2 linked regions of the Cricetulus griseus genome follow. The protein of the gene in region 1 purifies or fractionates together with the protein of each later gene. This does not show direct contact. Links are inferred from orthologs where the notes say so. Each region holds a gene or a part of one and is shown on either strand. Other genes may lie near its edges.

Evidence for each region. The genes of interacting proteins can lie anywhere in the genome.
Region 2: the proteins of Patl1 (region 1) and Ddx6 purify together in Homo sapiens (affinity purification with mass spectrometry; 6 studies listed by BioGRID and IntAct, with this or other methods). This does not show direct contact. The link is inferred for Cricetulus griseus from reciprocal best matches to the Homo sapiens genes PATL1 and DDX6.

Annotation. Positions count from the first base shown.
Region 1 is NC_048596.1:48,682,514-48,686,988, reverse strand, and holds part of Patl1 (protein PAT1 homolog 1), read left to right. Parts: coding exon 1-139; intron 140-1,035; coding exon 1,036-1,137; intron 1,138-1,698; coding exon 1,699-1,788; intron 1,789-2,139; coding exon 2,140-2,357; intron 2,358-3,472; coding exon 3,473-3,562; intron 3,563-4,475. UniProt on the Homo sapiens protein: RNA-binding protein involved in deadenylation-dependent decapping of mRNAs, leading to the degradation of mRNAs. Acts as a scaffold protein that connects deadenylation and decapping machinery.
Region 2 is NC_048597.1:156,297,652-156,302,126, forward strand, and holds part of Ddx6 (probable ATP-dependent RNA helicase DDX6), read left to right. Parts: intron 1-1,087; coding exon 1,088-1,151; intron 1,152-2,328; coding exon 2,329-2,433; intron 2,434-4,475.

The DNA.
Region 1 (4,475 bases):
CCCAGAAGATGATCGAGACCTTTCTGAGCGAGCTTTACCAAGGCGTTCTACATCACCTGTCATTGGAAGTCCTCCTGTTAGAGCCGTTCCTATAGGCACCCCACCTAAGCAGATGGCCGTTCCCAGCTTCAACCAACAGGTACCTTTCCTTAACGTACACAGCCCAAGATATTGGGAATCTGGGCAAAATTATTTGGGATACAGGGAGGAGGGTGGACATTGTGGGTAGGCATTAAAGAATAGCCAATTAGAGAAGAAGTTAGTACAAATGAGACACATTTCCCTAATACAATTGCTGCTGCTGCTTCTGATACCTTTTAACTGGGAGAGAAGAGAGTAGTTAGCCACATTAGTGCATATATCCTTTTTTAAGTGTTTTGCTGGCTGCCGGGTACATTAGCAGAAAGATAACTGAAAGCTGGGGGGAGTGGGAACACTCAGCATTGTCCACATCCCTTTTTACCTTTAAGATATCCCTGCTTTCCCTAGAGCCTGTGCAGTCCTGTTCCATAGACTTTCCTCCACCTGAAACCAGCAGCTGAAAAGGAAGGCCAATTTGGAAGGTATGGGGGGAGGGTGGTGTTGGTATGGCCTAGTTAGGCTCAATATCCTAAGAAATGGTGGAGTCACAATGTATCCCAACATTGCTGAGCATGGCGGCCATATCACTGAGGCTTCAGAATAAGGACTTAGTTAATCCTCCAGCTTTCTTATCATTCCTTGTCCCTCACTATAACCAAAATATATCCTCTTGGAGAAAATTTTCAAGTCAGAATGTCTGCTGGTACTTCCCTCAGATAGCATGGAAGGGTGGGGATACTGGAGAATTAGCTAAATCTTCCTCAGTTAAGATGAAACTGATTTGTGAGAGGAAATGACCAAAGGTTCAGTGTTTGAACCCATAGCCAGAGCAATTTGCTTAGAAATAGGGCTTTGCATTGAGTTCTGTGTCTCTACCAGTACTTGAGGGGAGGGAGTGTAGGAAGGCAAAAGACTGATTTCATTCAATGTAGTTGTGTATATTTGTCTTAATAGATTCTGTGTCCGAAGCCTGTTCATGTACGACCTCCGATGCCACCACGTTATCCTGCTCCCTATGGTGAGAGGATGTCTCCAAACCAGCTCTGCAGTGTCCCGGTATGTCACTTTACACATGTTTAATGTGAACTTCATGATCACCTTTAGTATGTAGTAGAGCTGACATTTCCTATATTATATGAATTTCTGGTAATCTCTCCTTGTTTTCTGGGGTTTGTGGTCCCAAGATCAAAGGACAAAAATTTACTGTTTTGTGCCACTTTAAGATTCTTTGCTCGACTGGGAATTACTGTATATGCCTGTAGTCCTAGCACTCAGTAGACTGAGGCAGAAGGATCCTTAATTCCAGGCAAGCCTGGTCTACATAGCGAGTGAGTTTCAGGCTACCAGCTTGAGCTACTTAGCAATACTCTCTCTCAACAAAAGGAAAAGCACACAAAGAATCTGTGTTCATTCCTATTTTCAGCTGCTTAAGTCTTTCATTCTAATGCTGTCTTTTTCTTGTTCTATGGAAGTAGTCTTTCATAATTTCTAGCCTTCTTTTCTGATACAAGGAAGTTTTTGCATCTAACTTTATGCTAAATTTATATTGAGTTTGCTTAATTTATTGATTTGCTTGATCCATAATATGAACATAATTTCTCTTTTCTGTGTCCTTAGAATTCGTCCCTTCTGGGCCACCCTTTTCCTCCTAGTGTTCCTCCTGTACTCAGTCCCCTGCAGAGAGCACAGCTTCTTGGAGGAGCACAGGTAAGCCTACAGTTAGCCATACCCATAAAGATGATCCTACTATCCTAAGAGTCATTGCTTGACACTGTTTTCTTTCACTGTTAGACACATCTCCCCACTCCCACCTCACCCCCACTTTGTTATCTCAAGTGGAGATATTAATGGAAATAGTATTTACCTTTTTGGTAGTGCATGCCTATAATACCAACACTTGGGAGGGGTTCTGTTAGGATCATGTATTTGAGACCAGCCAGGGCTACACAGGGAGTTTCCAAACAGCATGAAGTACATAATGAGACCCTGTCACAAAGGGAAGTGGGGCCTGTTGGAAATGCTAATTCTATTACATTAAAGATCTGTTCCTCTTTGCAGCTACAGCCTGGTCGTATGTCTCCCAGCCAGTTTGCACGAGTCCCTGGATTTGTTGGTAGCCCCCTGGCTGCCATGAATCCTAAGTTGCTACAAGGGCGAGTTGGACAGATACTTCCCCCAGCACCAGGCTTCCGTGCCTTCTTTAGTGCTCCACCCCCTGCTACACCCCCTCCCCAACAGCATCCTCCTGGCCCAGGACCTCACCTGCAAAACTTAAGGTATACAAAACATGCTTCTTGATCATTGTCAGCCAAGTCCATTTTAGTTTTATAGTGTGAAAGTTTCATTTCTCATTTAGTTTTATGATATAAAACTCTTGTGATACTTGCTAAGAAGTATAGTTCCTGGATCCCCAGGTTGTCAGAGAACTGCTTGAGTCTTCAGTTTCTACACTGTTCTCCGGAGTATCATGCTTCCTTTGCATTTGATAAATTAACTGCTTCTTTTACTTTTACTGGAGTTGCACTTCATACCCATTTTTTGAACATTCATGCAGTACAATGCACAGTGCTGATGACTGAAGAATTACCACAGTTGAGTAACAGATAGAAACAAAGGCCAAGAAGCTAGCTGATCTGAGTGCCAGCTGAGTTGCTGGTTTTATAAAGAGATAAACTTGGTTTCTGCTTTGGTAAAATTGTGTCATATTATGTAAATCGTGTCAGTTCATGTTCTGAAGAGAAACATCAATAGAAGATACATATAAGTGGAAAAAGTTAATTTTAATCCGAGGAACTGACTGGCAAATTGGAAATCCATTTAGTAGGCTAGAAACTTAAAGAGTCACATTGCAGTCTTGACCTTGAAGTATGTCAGCCATTAGACTAGAGACCCAGCAGAACATCATTTCCCATCTTGATACAGGTTTCTTCTCTGAGTAACTTCTCAGTTTTGGCTGTTGGGCCTCCCAGATTATGGAGGGCAATTTCTTAAAGTCAACTGATTGTAAATGTAAATCATGTCTATAAAATGTTTTCATAACAGTGTCTATACTAGAGTTTGGTTAAACTTGGGTATCATGGTTAGATTGACATGTAAAATAACTACCATACATAAAATTTCTATGTCATTCCCACAAAAAAATTGAAGCTAAATGAATTAACCCTGTTAGGAACAAAAAAAATTATACTGCTTACTACTAAAGCACTGAAGTAGTCCACTGAAAGAACCCTGAAGGTGTTTCATAGTCATCCAAGAAATTTAAAAATAACAGTTGGAATAAACTCTGGAAATCCCTTGAGTGAACCTTTGACATTATCCTGTATTGACAACCTTTTTTAAAATGAAGTCATCAAGATGAGATAACCAAGAACCATTTTCCTTTTTTTCTTAGACCTCAGGCCCCAATGTTTAGACCAGACACAACTCACCTTCATCCACAGCACCGGCGCCTGTTGCATCAGAGGCAGCAGCAGAGTAGAAAGTGAGTACTCTTCGCTCTCCTGACGTAAAGTCATGTTGACCTTAAGTCATAGTTAAAGTTGAGCTCTGACATTTATATCCCTTATCAAATTTATAATCACCATCTGAACTGCCTTTTTCTTTTGGTATTTCAAGACAGGGTTTCTATGTGGCTTTGGAGGCTGTCCTGGAACTTGATCTTGTAGACCAGGCTGGTCTTGAACTCAACAGAGATCTGCCTGCCTCTGCCTCAGACTCCCGAGTGCTGGGATTAAAGGCAAGCACCACCACCGCCCGGCTTAACTGCCTTTTTCTTTGTCTTCGAGTTTAGAAGTAATCTTAAAACACAGCAGCCAGCTCTAAATGTAGGTGTTATGTGAGCATAATGATAATTCTTTTCTTCACATTATTTCATCTTCATATAAATGTAAACACATTTTTGTATATACTGGCTGTGTGGCCAAACTGTGGCAGGCTTTGAAAACCAAAAACAGCAGGGTACATAAAGCCTCTCTGCCTTCAGTGTCTATATCAAGTCATTCTGTAATTATTTACCTAGATAAATTAAGGAAACTAGGTATAGCTGTAAGGGGTCTCAATGTCTGTTTTTTTGTTCTGTGTATAATTCCTTCTCACCTTCAAAAATTTCTATAATTTTGCAGGAGAGAAAAAGGAAACCAATGTTGACTTACACACAAAACTCCAAGTATAAGCTATATAGAGAAAGATTAACATATTTAACTGCATTAATGTATTAATACATTTAAAATATCAGTCCTTGAAGGTGTTGTTGGTGACACGTGGTTGTAATTTTATCAATTGGAGGCAAAAACCTAAAAAAGGAAGAAGCCAAGCAGTAATAGACCACTAAATATAAATCCTTTGAGGAAGATGTGAAAGCACTAACAAAACACATATGCCCAAATATTCAGTTC
Region 2 (4,475 bases), on another chromosome or scaffold:
AGCTTTAGATAAATGAAGCTTGGGGTGAAAGGACTGGGATGTCCAGGAACAGATAATGCTAAGTACTAAGTTCTTACTTTGTTAGTACTGACTGTTTACGTAAATTACTGTTAGCTTTTTTTTTTTTTTTTTTTTGGAGGCAGCCCAGACTGTCCTTCAAGTAGCTATGTAACAGGGGTAACCTTGAACTCCTAAACGTACTACTTCCACCTCCAAAGTGCTGGAATCACCTGGTGAATGTCATCGTGCCATCATTATATATGTTATTGATTTAGACACCCAGTTTGTATATGATAGTATAGAGGGTTGGGGAAGTAATTGGTGCGGCATCATGGAAGGAATAAGGAATAGAATCGAGACTTAACCCCTGTTAGAAACGTCAGGACTTGTGTGGTTTTGTATGGTGTGTTGAGTCACGGTCTTTCTGTTGTTCAGACTAGCCTGCAACTACCAGGCTCAGGTGGTCTTTCTGCCTCATTCTCCTGGGTAGCAGGGACTGCAGACACTCTTGGTTTTAACAAGAATCAGCTAGTTACCAGAAGTACAGGCTTGGATGACTATAGGGTACTGTGCTGATTTAGAAAGTACTTACTGTTTAAAAGCATCACCTGTTGATATTAAGTTCTGGTTACTAAGTAGCCCACTGGTAACTCCTTGGCTTTTCCAAGGACCTGGGTTCAATTCTTATCATTAAAAAAGAAAAAATAAAAAGTTGCAGTTACTGTTACGGTACAAGAACTTGAAACATTATTGCCAAAGTGTCTCTGAACTGTTGTGGATTTGGCATTTTTTCAAGAAAATCTAGAAACTGAGCCTTTACATGAAATCTAGATGTTAAATGTTTGTAGCTAATTAAAAAGACTAGTAGATCAGATAAGATGTGTTTGACAAACACTTGTACTAAGTTCATCCTCCTTAGATGATTTCTCAAAGAACATGTTTCCTGAAGTTAACACTTTTGTTAATTAAGTGCAGGGAATGTTAAACTTAAGTGCTTTTTAGAGAGGTAGTACTATTTGAAAGGTTTCATTTGTATTAACAGGGAAGCTATGAATTGTGACAACTATGTTTACTATATTCTCTCTAGACCTGGTGATGACTGGAAAAAGACTTTAAAACTCCCTCCAAAGGATCTAAGAATCAAAACTTCGGTAAGTTGGGTTGTAGAATTCAAAAATGGAAGGAAGGGGCAATTACAAGTAAAGTAATTGAATGAAATGACACCATGTGTTTAGTCCTTTTGTTATTTTTTGTTCTATTTTGAGAATAATGTCCTATATAGTCCAGGCTTACTATCAGTGTTCTCCTTCCTTAGTCTTATTAGTGCTGGGAGTATAGTTAGGTATGTCCCATCAGGCTAGCAACTAGATTTTATTTTTGAGCATCTTTAGTTTTTCAGATAGGGTTTCATTCACTATTTAGTAGAGGCAACATATATATTTAATCTTAAAGCAATTTGAAATGATTGAAACTGTATGGTTAATAGGTATTAGATTGCTTTAAAAATTCATATATATATATACATATATATATGTATATATATATATATTAAGAAATATGCTGGCTTGTGGGTGCCCATGCATGTGTGTTTGCATGCATATCTTTTTGTTTGTTTGTTTGGTTTTTGTTTTGTTGAGACAAGACTTCTGTGATTGCAGGCTGGCCTCAAACTTAGATCCACCTGCCTCTGCCTCCAGAGCTCTGGCATTAAAGGTGGACGCTACCCTACCACCCCACCCCCAGCTGCTATCTTTACCTAATTTTCTCAGTTTTTTTCCCCCTCAGCCTCTCAGTGCTATATTCAGGTTAGGTATTGTATCCACTATGTATGAATGTGTTCAGAGAAGTTCTTTATCCCAATATTCTCAACCAAGGGTGATTTTTGTGACACTTCTTGTAACAATAGCTAGAAGTATTTTTTGTTGCCAACTTGGGATCCTTATAAATAGCCTCAAAACACCAATGTCAGCCTGGCCACAAATGTCAAAGCTCTATGCTTGAGAAACCCAAAGACATAGCCAAAGATATTGGTAGCTAGTGAGTAGGGGAACTGGGGTTTTATTTCATATCTGTAGTTAATTGTATGTTATTTATGTAGAAATATTCTGCCTTAGACTGATCATAGGTGCTTTCCCCAAAGCTCCATCTTTAAGTGATGTATATTTGTTGAGTTACTCTCCAGGGAAAGTTGAAATAGAAATTAAAACAGTAGTAATATGCATTTTTAAGCTGAAGTGGATAAAGGGTTCAGGTCTGTTACTTTTTTTTAAAGCATGCTAACTATGAAAGAACCAGGGTTCCATTTTATTTTATTGTTTGTTTCATTAGGATGTGACTTCCACAAAAGGAAATGAATTTGAAGATTACTGTTTGAAACGGGAGTTGCTAATGGGAATTTTTGAAATGGGCTGGGAAAAGCCGTCTCCTATTCAGGTATGTTTACCCTTTTGGCTACATGAAGGTTATGTATCATGCATTATACACTTCAGCAAACATTAAAATACTCATTTTATAACTGGGCAGTGAACTCAGAAGGCAGAGGCAGGCAGATAGATCTCTCTGAGTTCCAGTTCTTGGTCTAGAGTGACAGGACTACAGAGACCCTGTCTTGACAAGAAAAAAAATTACATGGATGGGTGTTTTGTCTGCATATTTGTCTAGTACCTCTAGAAGCAAGAAGGGAGGGCCTCAGACCCCCTAGAACTAGAGTTAACGATGGTTGTGAGTGAAGCTACCTGAGATAACCTGTGAAGATGGTTCGATACTCTCTCGACCCAGAAAACCCTACAAAATCATGCAAGTCAAGAGGTTCAAATCTCCGGGTTCACTTTAAGAATACCTGTGAAACTGCCCAGGCCATCAAGGGTATGCATATCCGAAAAGCCACCAAATACCTGAAAGATATCACATTGAAGAAGCAATGTGTGCCATCCCAGCAATACAATGGTGGAATCAGCAGGCGCCCAGGCCTGGGGCTGGACACAGGGTCGGTGGCCGAAAAAGAGTGCTGAATTTTTGCTGCACATGCTTAAAAATGCAGAGAGTAATGCTGAGCTTAAGGGTCTAGACTTAGATTCTCTGGTCATTGAACACATCAGGTGAACAAAGCACCTAAGATGCGTCGACGAATTTACAGAGCTCACGGCGGATTAGCCCATTCATGAGCTCCCCCTGCCACATCGAATGATCCTCACGGAAAAGGAACAGATTGTTCCAAAGCCAGAAGAGGAGGTTGCACAGAAGAGAAAGATATCCCAGAAGAAATTGAAGAAACAAAACTTACGGCACGGGAATAAATTCAGCATAAAATAAATGCAGATAAAAGTTAAAAAAAAAAAAAAAAAAGATGGTTGTGAGCCACCATGCTGGGAATTGAAATGCGTTCCCTGGAAGCATAACCGGTATTCCTAACTGTTGAGATATGTCTTTAGTCCCTACTTGATTTTTTTGACGTGTGGGAATAGTGTAATGTGTGTTTGTATACAGTATTTTTCTGTACTTTTAGTGTTTTTTTTTTTTTTATACAGGGCAGCTTCTAGTCCATAGTAGCCTCAAATTAAAAGTTAGCTGAAGCTGGCCTTTGAGCTCTTGTTACCTCAGCCTCTCAAGTCTAGGATTACAGGCAAGCATCACCATTCAGTTTTGTTTTGTTTTTTTCCTTTTTGGTTTTTCGAGACAGGGTTTCTCTGTGGGTTTGGAGACTGTCCTAGCTCTTGTAGACCAAGCTGGTCTCGAACTCACAGAGATCCTCCTGCCTCTGCCTCCCGAGTGCTTGGATTAAAGGCATGCGCCACCAATGCCCGGCTCATTCTCAGTTTTTTCTTGAACTTTATATATCTTTTTTTATGTGCATTGCTGTTTTGCCTGCATGTGTGTCTTTGAGGGATTGGATCCTAGAGTCACAAGCAGCTATGACCTGTCATGTGGGTTGCTGGGAATTGAACCCAATTCCTCTGGAAAAGTAGTCAGGACTCTTAACAGCCATCTCTCCAGTCCCTTTCTTGAACCTTTTGGGGTTGTTTGTTTGTTTGTTTGAGACAGGGTTTCTCTGTGGCTTTGGAGGCTGTCCTGGAACTAGCTTTTGTAGACCAGGCTGGTCTGGAACTCACAGAGATCCACCTGCCTCTGCCTCCCGAGTGCTGGGGACTAAAAGCATTCACTGCCGCCGCCGCCTCCTGGCCATCTTGAACTTTTACAGGTTAAATTATAGAATCACTTCATTAACTTGTGAGTCTCTTGGTGTATATTTCCTAAGAATAGGGATTGTGTGTGTTGTGAGCTTTTTTGTTGTTGTTGCTTGGTGGTTTCAATGTTTATTTTTATATTTTATGTTTTTTGTTTTGTTTTGTTTTTGGATTTTCAAGACAGGGTTTCTCTGGCTTTGGAGGCTGACCTGGAACTAGCTCTTGTAGACCAGTCTGGTCTCGAACTCACAGAGATCCACCTGCCTCTTCCTCCTGAGTGCTGGGATTAAA